Canis lupus familiaris: one gene and its partner. The main gene of each other region encodes a partner of the protein of the gene in region 2 in a complex. Links are inferred from orthologs where the notes say so. Each region holds a gene or a part of one and is shown on either strand. Other genes may lie near its edges.

What was found.
Region 1: PRKG1 (region 2) and CNN1 share a complex: the UniProt entries of both Homo sapiens proteins name them as parts of the cGMP kinase signaling complex. The link is inferred for Canis lupus familiaris from reciprocal best matches to the Homo sapiens genes PRKG1 and CNN1.

Annotation. Positions count from the first base shown.
Region 1 is NC_049241.1:50,230,944-50,235,198, forward strand, and holds the start of CNN1 (calponin-1), read right to left. Parts: upstream 2,801-4,255; 5' UTR 2,766-2,800; coding exon 2,643-2,765; intron 1,971-2,642; coding exon 1,849-1,970; intron 1-1,848. UniProt on the Homo sapiens protein: Thin filament-associated protein that is implicated in the regulation and modulation of smooth muscle contraction. It is capable of binding to actin, calmodulin and tropomyosin. The interaction of calponin with actin inhibits the actomyosin Mg-ATPase activity.
Region 2 is NC_049247.1:37,109,446-37,113,476, forward strand, and holds the start of PRKG1 (cGMP-dependent protein kinase 1), read right to left. Parts: upstream 2,801-4,031; 5' UTR 2,745-2,800; coding exon 2,434-2,744; intron 1-2,433. UniProt on the Homo sapiens protein: Serine/threonine protein kinase that acts as a key mediator of the nitric oxide (NO)/cGMP signaling pathway. GMP binding activates PRKG1, which phosphorylates serines and threonines on many cellular proteins.

The DNA of each region.
Region 1 (4,255 bases), on a different chromosome or scaffold from region 2:
TGCGGGAGTCTCTCCCTGGCAACTGCATCTCAGTCTCCTTGTCCCTTAGGGGCAACTGCACTGTGGAGAGCCCGCAGCTCAGGGCCCCAACTTCCCTCCCTGGCCTCACTCACCCCCTCGAGCTCCTCCAGTCTCTTGACTTTAAAATGCCACCCATATGCCAACAACTCCCCAGCATTTCCCCGCAGCCAGGCCTCTCACTCTCCATCCAATCCAGCTCCCTACCTGGCATCTCAAAGGCACCCCACCCCAGACTCCTGACACCCACTTTCGCCACCTCAATTCTTTCCATCCTCCCAGGCTCAGTAAACACATCCTGCTCACCCTCAGACTTGCTCTTGACTCTCCTATTCGGTTCTCCCATTCCTTGACACCCAACCCCTCAGCGGGTTCTTTGGCTCTGCCTTCTGAGGACATCCAGAAGCCCCTGGCTCCTTGCCACCTCCATGCTGCTCTGAGTTGTCTGAACCTCAATCCTGTGCTCTTGCAGGGGCCCCCTGTGGCTCCCAGGTTCCGCCTCGACCCCTGCAGACCCTCATAGCTACAATGGCCTTTTCCAAATAACTCCAGCTACTCCCCAGATCAAAAGTGCCCCCCGCCCCCGGTTTCCCTTCAGAATAAAGATCCTAAAACCTTTAACATGACTGAAAGGCCCTACAACTTCTGGCCCCCAGCTAACTCCCTCCACTTCCCCTAATCTCTCCTCGCTGTTCCTTGAACACACTAGGCTTGCTGCCACCTCAGGGCCTTTGCACTGCTGCTCTCCCTATACCCTACTCCCTGCCTGGCTCACTCCTTCCTCAGATGCCCTCCCAGCTCCCTCACTCACTTCATCCAAGATTCTGCTCAAATGTTATCTCTTCTGAAAGACCTCCTAGACCATTCTCTACGAAGCAGCAAACCTTTTCCCCACCCCAGCCCTCCATCCTTTCCCCCTTGACTCTTCCCATGGCACTTCCCTCCACAGGCAAGTATGGGGTTTTTTCATGGATTGATCAATCTCCCCCATGAGGACCCAAGCTCTATGTGAGCTCAGAGTTAAATCTGTTCTGTTCACTATCCCCAGTGCCTAGACCTGCACACAGCAGGTGCTCCATAAATTCTTGGTGCACAAATGAATAACTGAGTGGGTGGGTAATCCTGTCTGAGCTAGAAACATCACAATGTCTCCCTATTCCTTATTCCCAGTGGGTATGCTAGAATAAGATCCCCCCACTCTGCCCTTTCCAGCACCTAGATCTTGGTAAGGCTGCACCTTCGGGAAGCTTCCCAAAAGGCACTCTCTGGCCATCACGGTCACCCTGTCCTGGGTCAGACTCAGAGATGCAGACAGGACCCTACTGGGCTCAGGGTCCTGGATCCAGTATTAGTGTCGCTGTGGACTCTGGAACCAGGGCTCAGAGCTGTGTGGATTTTCATTCCTCCTGGTGATTTAAGTTCTGAGAAGAGTAGAAAACCAGGCCTACTTAAGTTACTGTGGCATAACTCTCATGTCACCAAGCCAGCAATGAACAGCCAATGTTGCCTTGTTGCCTTTTAGCTGTGACCTCTCTTTCTTGGAACTCTGGAGGCCATAAATGGGCCTGCCCTGTCTGCATGGTGATCAAGCCTAGATTCTGGTCATTTCTGTCAGAACAGCATGGGCCTCTGGGCGATATGTTTTACTTAACTGGGCCTCAGTTTTCTTTCCTGTTAAATGGGCACAATGTTGCTGTGCCAATGCTATTTCAAGGTCTCAGATATCAAGTGCCTAACCCAGCTCTGAGCTCATAGTCATTTGAAGGGTTGAGGGGGTAAAGATGAATGCCCAGGTTGGGGGCACCCCAAGGCAAAGTCTGCCCCACTCACTCGCAAAGAATGATGCCATCTTTGAGACCATCCATGAAGTTGTTCCCAATGCGGCGCCCAGTCACCCCCTCGATCCACTCTCGAAGCTCCTGCTCTCGCTGGTGGTCATACTTCTGGGCCAGCTGGGGATGGGGGACACAGAGAAGGTGGTAAGGATGGAGTGGGGAGCAGAGTTGGCTCCAGGGACCCAATCTGAGGTTCCCTAGGCCTGGTCTTCTCATCCCTTCCCAACTAAGGCAATTCTGCTCCAGCGTCCATGGGGGGGCTGAAGTGGGCAATGGGCCAGGACTGAGGTGGCACCTGCCCAGGGGGCCATTCCGGACATTCTGAGGTTTGGCACCAGAGAATGCAGACAAGGGGGGTGGAGAGCGGGGTACTTAGAGCTGGGAGGGGTGGTGCCTGGCCTCTTGGTTCCCCCTCCAGGCCAAACTTGGGGCTTAGCTTCCCCTGGTCCTGCCCCCCCACCCCCCTGCTGGAAGCCTGGGCGCCTCAGGCAGGGGAGGAGGAGCCCTAAGGACGTGGCTCTGAGTACTGCCTTGCAGGGGACTGTTCTGTCTTGCAGGTCTGTCTGCCTCAGTGTCTCTCCAGGTCCTGATCCTCTGGGCTGTGGCTCTGGCTGGAGGCTCCGGGGAGGAGGGGGAGGGGACAGGACAGAGGACAGGACACACTTGTCTTTGTCTTACTCCTGGCCCCATGCATGCTCGGTGGTATTTCTCTCTCTCTCTCCCCGCCCCCCCATCCCCGCACCCTCTGTCTCTGTCTCCCCAGCTCCAGCTGTCCTTCCTCGGCCTTGCCTTCCTGTCCCCATCTCCCTGTGTCTGGCTGGGGGGTGGGGCTCGGGGCTCCTCTGTCTCCTCTCTCTCGGCCTCTCCATCCCCTGTCTCGGTCTTATCTGGCTCCTGGCTCAGCCTCCCCATCCGTCCCTCTCAAGTCTCAGGCTCCCAGAAGCTCGGCGTCTCTCGCTCTCTTCCCCCTTCTCCATCCTGCCCCCCGCCCCCCCCCCCACCTCCCTTTCTCCAGAACCCTCCGCCCCAGCCCAGACAGGTTCCGAGACTGCGGGTGGAGGGGACGGAGCTGCCCCTTCCCCTGGGGGAGGAGGAGGAGGTAGGAGGGGGCGGCCCCTCACCTGGCCCCGGCCCTGCCGCCCCCCTCCCCACCAGCCCGGCTTTATAAAGCAAACCGGCCCTTATATAGCGCGGCCCCGCGGGCCGGGCTCCCCGAGGCCGCCTTATATGGCGCGGCGGCTTCGCGCGGCTCTGGGGCCGGCGCCGGGGGGAGGGGGGCGGCGCCGGGATCCCGCCCGGGCCCGAGCACCCGCCCCCCCAGCCCCCTCCTCCAGCCGCGAGGATCCCCCGACCCAGGATCCAATGCCAGCTCCCCCGCTTCCTCGCTGTACGCTGGGGAAAGCCACCCCCGGCCCTCGATGTTCCCCTCTGTCAAATGGGGCTGGGACTCCTGTCCTGGCAGCGCTCACGGAGCATTCCAGTGAGTTGAAGTTCACTGCCCCCGAGAAGCTGAACCCGACTCCGGGATGTGTGTGCCTTGGTGGCCGGGTGGCAGCGGAGGGCGATGCCAGGATCCTAGCTCTGCAACTCCCTTATGTCGAACCCTAGCTACTCGCCTCTCCTCTCTGAACCTCAGTTTAGCCATCCATAGCACAAGGGCGGTACCCGGATGTTTTCCCAGCTCAAAATTAGGAGACCCCTGCCAGGTCCCTAATGCTCAGTCTCTGACCTCCCGGCTGTCTCCCTCTCCCTTCAGGATCTCCTTCGCCATGTGGGCCTCACTTCCCCAGAACCCCAACTCTCAAGCACTCCCCGGTTTCTTTTTGAGATGGGGGTGTGTGTGAGGAAAATCGAGTCCTTTCCCAGCCCCCCAGGAACACAAAAGGAACAGGGGACGGGTTAACAGGAGACTCTGATCAAGTGGGGGTCTTTACAGGGGACAGATCACCTCAGTTTACCCGTGGTTGCCTGTGTGCCCTCCATTTTACCTGTCCCCCAACAGTAGCTGAGGGCTCTGGGATGCTCAGGATGGGGAATAAGGCAGTCCCGACCCTAGATTTGTCCTTTTTCCCTCTCTGATTCCAAGTCACACGGGATAGGCAAGAGGGGGTCCAGGGAACCCCAAGAGCAGGGCCTCTGGCCTGCCAGGGTGTGTGGGCCAGGCAGAGGCCCTATATTGTTCTTGACCTCAGCTGACAGCCCACAGACGGGAGCCTTACCTTGTTCTTGACCTCAGCGGACAACCCATAGGCGGGGCCCCGGTTGAAGTGAGCAGAGGACATGCTGGCTGGTGGTGGGCACGGGTGGCAGTAGTGCCGAGGACAAGGCAGCAGCTAGGCTCCGTCTGCAACCTCTTCCCTCCTCACACGTTTTTGAAGCTCCGGAGGCGGCCCGGGCCTCTT
Region 2 (4,031 bases):
AGTCTGTATAATCAGCTTATTCATAGTGAAATAAATGGAAATCTGGAGCAAGTCGTGTTCGGTTTGGCCGGTTTTCCTAATTCTTTGCGGAGCTATCTTGCACCATCATCAAATGGCATAAGGTATAAGCATTTTGCATACAATGTAACTTCTCTCTCAAGAAAGGTACACTCTACCACTTAAGCCAGTTTTATTCTAGTTTTCTTTATGTAAGTGTGAAAAAAGAACAGATGTTTTTCCAAAATTATTTAAGCTTGGAAGACAGTCTATCCTTTTCTTCACTATAATCCTTCAGAATCACCAAAACCACCATGGTGATACCTCAAACAGCTGATTTCTTTAAAGCACAAGCTATTGAATAAATATCAGAAGGCACAGCATTGTTCCATGATAAAATGTTTATTGTAACAGAATGGTGTGGATTATTTGCCACGCTAATTTCATTTCCCACCATTTTCCACCGTGGGCTTGCAGGAAAAAAAAAACAAAAAAACAAAACAACAACAAAAAAAACCTAGCAGTCCTACGTGTGAAGCACCGAGAGACGTCTACAACTTCACCACGTTTCTCGAGCTCATTCCCCACTGCCTAGAATCCTTCAGATCTCCTCTGATGCAACGTGTAACTGGAGTTATCGGCTGGCTTGATCATGCTTCATTATAAAACCTACTACAACGGTCTTTTTGTAAAAGTGCAGTTTTCTCCGGGTTACCCCAAAGTCCTGCAGGTACCAAAAATGAGATCCTAGGCAATGCTTAAAAAGGCAGAGAAGCTGGAGTTATTTTTTTCATTATGCAAAACTTGGCCCAGGAGAGACGGCCATGTACCTCGTTAGCTAAAACAGGCAAGCGTGTCGGGACTGCAAATTAATTTACTGGAGAAAGTTGGGAGGAGATGCGAATCCTTCAGGTTTCTGAGGCAGATCCGCGTCTACCCGGCAGGGCCACTTGCTGAGGTCAGAGTCCCCGAAACGTTCATCCTCCCTGTTTCTGCCCTGCACTCTGGGGAGGACACCAACTCCTTCTTAACCTAAACCTGCGTGAGGAACAGCAAAAGCTCTACGGGAACCTACGGAGGGAAGCCTAACTCTTTAAGTTCTCAAAAGTCTAATTCGCACGTGCTCGCTAGCCGCCCCCCAAATCCGGCAGCCAGAAATGGAGGTGATCACGTACTGATCCTTTCTCCTTACATTAATTTCTTGTGTTTACGAAGGGTTCCAAGGGAGCTGGCGTTATTATGTAACACGTGTCATCCAGCCAGGGTGATGCTATTAGGAAGGGAGTAGCAAAATCTTTCATTTTATCATTTGTCTCCTTATCTATTTGTTAGAAATACCCTTCCTTAGGGCGCTGTCCCTCCCCCTGTATCAATCCTATGTTTCTGCCACTTTACTCTCCATAAGGTCTCTGCATCGAGAGGCGTCTAACTAACAAGTTGGGGTTGCATTTTCCTACCCGAGTCCCGAAGCCCCCCGGCGTGGAGCACAGTTCCCTAAACGCAGGGACAGGGACGACAGCAGAGTGGTTGCATCAGAAGCCCGGAGTGAGGCAGACGATGTGTTCACGCTGTCCCTAAAGGTAAGTGTACTTCTCCTGCCCACCCGGAAACCCGCAACCCTCCGGGTAGCAGCCCCAAGCACCTGACACTCAGGGGCAACATCATGCAAATGCCTTAAGGAAAACAAGCCCCATTCTCCCTCGGATGGTATGAAAACAGTATTTAGAAAAAAAAAAAAAAGAAAGAAAAGAAAAAGAATCAACAGACTGGGCTTCCATTTGCGGGCTGTAAATGCCATCCAATTCAGAAATAAAATAAAATGAAATAAAATAAAATAAAATAATAAAAAATCACCCCCTCGACATGCGTATTTGCTTATTTCTGACACTTGGAGGATGCCAGCACCCCGGGGTTTGGAGGGTGGTGGGGGGGGGGGGGTCCGGGCGTGAAAAGGGAGAAATCCGGGAGAGCCACACGGAGAGGCACGGAAAGTAGGGGTGGCATCAGACGCATTGCATTTCCAGTCTGATGAGCCTGCATTTGGGATTTTCCGGCCGGGCAGGCTCGCCAGGGCACGGGGGAGCCGGGCTTTTTAGTCCCCGTTTCACACTCGCTGGCTCGCACGCTCACACTCACGCTCACACTCAGCGGCGCGCGCGCGCGGCCGGACACACACCTGGGGCGCGTGCGGGCCGGGTTCGGCCGCGCGGGCGCCTACGACCGACCGTGCAGGGCTGTGAAAAGAGAAGAGGAAAAAACGAAAGCAGCCCGCGGCCCGGCATCCGACAAAGACCGCGAGGCAGCGCAGGGGCGGCGAGCGCGGCTGCGGGAGGCGCGGCGCGCGGGGGGCGCCCCCAGGGCGCAGCAGCTCGCGCGGCGCCGGGCCCCGCGCCCCGGCCCCGCGCGCCCCCGCCCCCGCCCCCGCCCCCCGCTTACTGTGGGCTCTTGGGGTAGAAGGGCAGGGTCACGTGGCTGAGGTCCTGCAGGTCGAAGGCGGTGGGCTCGGCGGAGATCGCCTGGCGCTTGGTGCGCGGCTCTCCGTGCAGGGCGCCGGCGCTCTGCTTCTGCGCCTGCTGGGTGGCCGGCCGGATCACCGAGCGGTACTTGTCCAGCTCGTTCTGCAGCTTCTGGATCAGTTCGTCCTTCTGGTCCAACTCCAGCTCCAGCTCGTCGATGAGGGCATCGCGCTGCCTCAGCTCCTCGATCTTCTCCTGGAGCGCGTACTGCAGATCCCGCAGGGTGCCCATGCTCCGCCGCCGCCGCCGCCGCCGCCGCCGCGCGCCGGGGCCGCCTCCCCTCTCCGGGCAACTTTCCCCAAAGTCGCCGCCGCCTCCCGCCTCCCGCCTCCCGCCTCCCGCCTCCCGCCTCCCGAGTGCCGACGCTTCCCACTCGAGCCCGGAGCCAGCCCCGGCTTCTGAGCATGCCCAGTCCGCCGCTCCGGCGCCGACTTTCCGTGCGGAGCCCACTTGTCGCGGCCGCGGGAGGCGCGGGGCGCGGGGCGCGCGAGCCGGCGGGTCGGGGCCGGGGCCGGGGCCGGGCGGGGGCGGGCGGGGGCGCGGGGGGCACCGGGGGGCGCGGGGAGGGGCGAGGGCGCAGGGGGGCGGGGAGCGCGGGGGGGCGGGTCGGGGCCGGGACTGGGCGGGGGGGGGCACCAGGGGGCGGGGGCCACGGAGGGGCACGGGGAGGGGCGAGGGCGCAGGGGGGCGGGGAGCGCGGGGGGGCGGGTCGGGGTCGGGACCCGGCGGGGAGGCACCCGGGGCTGGGGGCGACGTGGGGGCGAGGGCGCGGGTGGGCGCAGGGGGGCGGGGGGCACGGAGGGGTCAGGACTGGGCGGGGGGCGGCACCAGGGGGCGGGGGCCACGGAGGGGCACGGGGAGGGCTGAGGGCGCGGGGGGCGGGGAGCGCGGGGGGCGGGGGCGCGGGTGGGCGCAGGGGGGCGGGGGGCACGGAGGGGCACAGGGAGGGGCGAGGGCGCAGGGGGGCGAGGAGCCTGGGGGGCGTGGGTCGCGACCGGGACCGGGCTGGGGGGGCACCGGGGAGGGGGGGCGCGGAGGGGGCACGGAGGGGCACGGGGGGGTTGGGTCGGGCCCGGGGCCGAGGGGGGGGCGCGGGGGTCACGGAGGGGGCGGGGAGCGCGAGCCGGCGTGTCGGGGCCGGGGCCGGGGCCGGGACGGAGCCGGGGTGAGCGGGGGCGCGGGGGGCGCGCGGGGGGCGCCTGGCGAGCGGAGCGGCGGGGCGGAGCGGGCGGGCGCGCCACTTCTGGGTGGGGAGGTGCGGGGGGCGCGCGGGAGGGCCGCCCCTCCCCCTCCCCCCTCCTCTCCCCCTCCCCTCCCCCCTCCGGGGCCTGGAGGCCGCGGGGTACGGGCCGGGCCGGGCCTGGGAGCTGCGGGGCCGCGCGGGCGGGTGGCTCAGGCCGCCCTCCGCGGGGAGCGCCTCGCACAGGTGGCCGCGCCGGGGAAGAAACTTGCCTCCCGCCGGAGCCCGGGAGCCGAGGGGGGTCCCCGACGCGCAGGTGCCTCGGGGGCGGGGCGGGG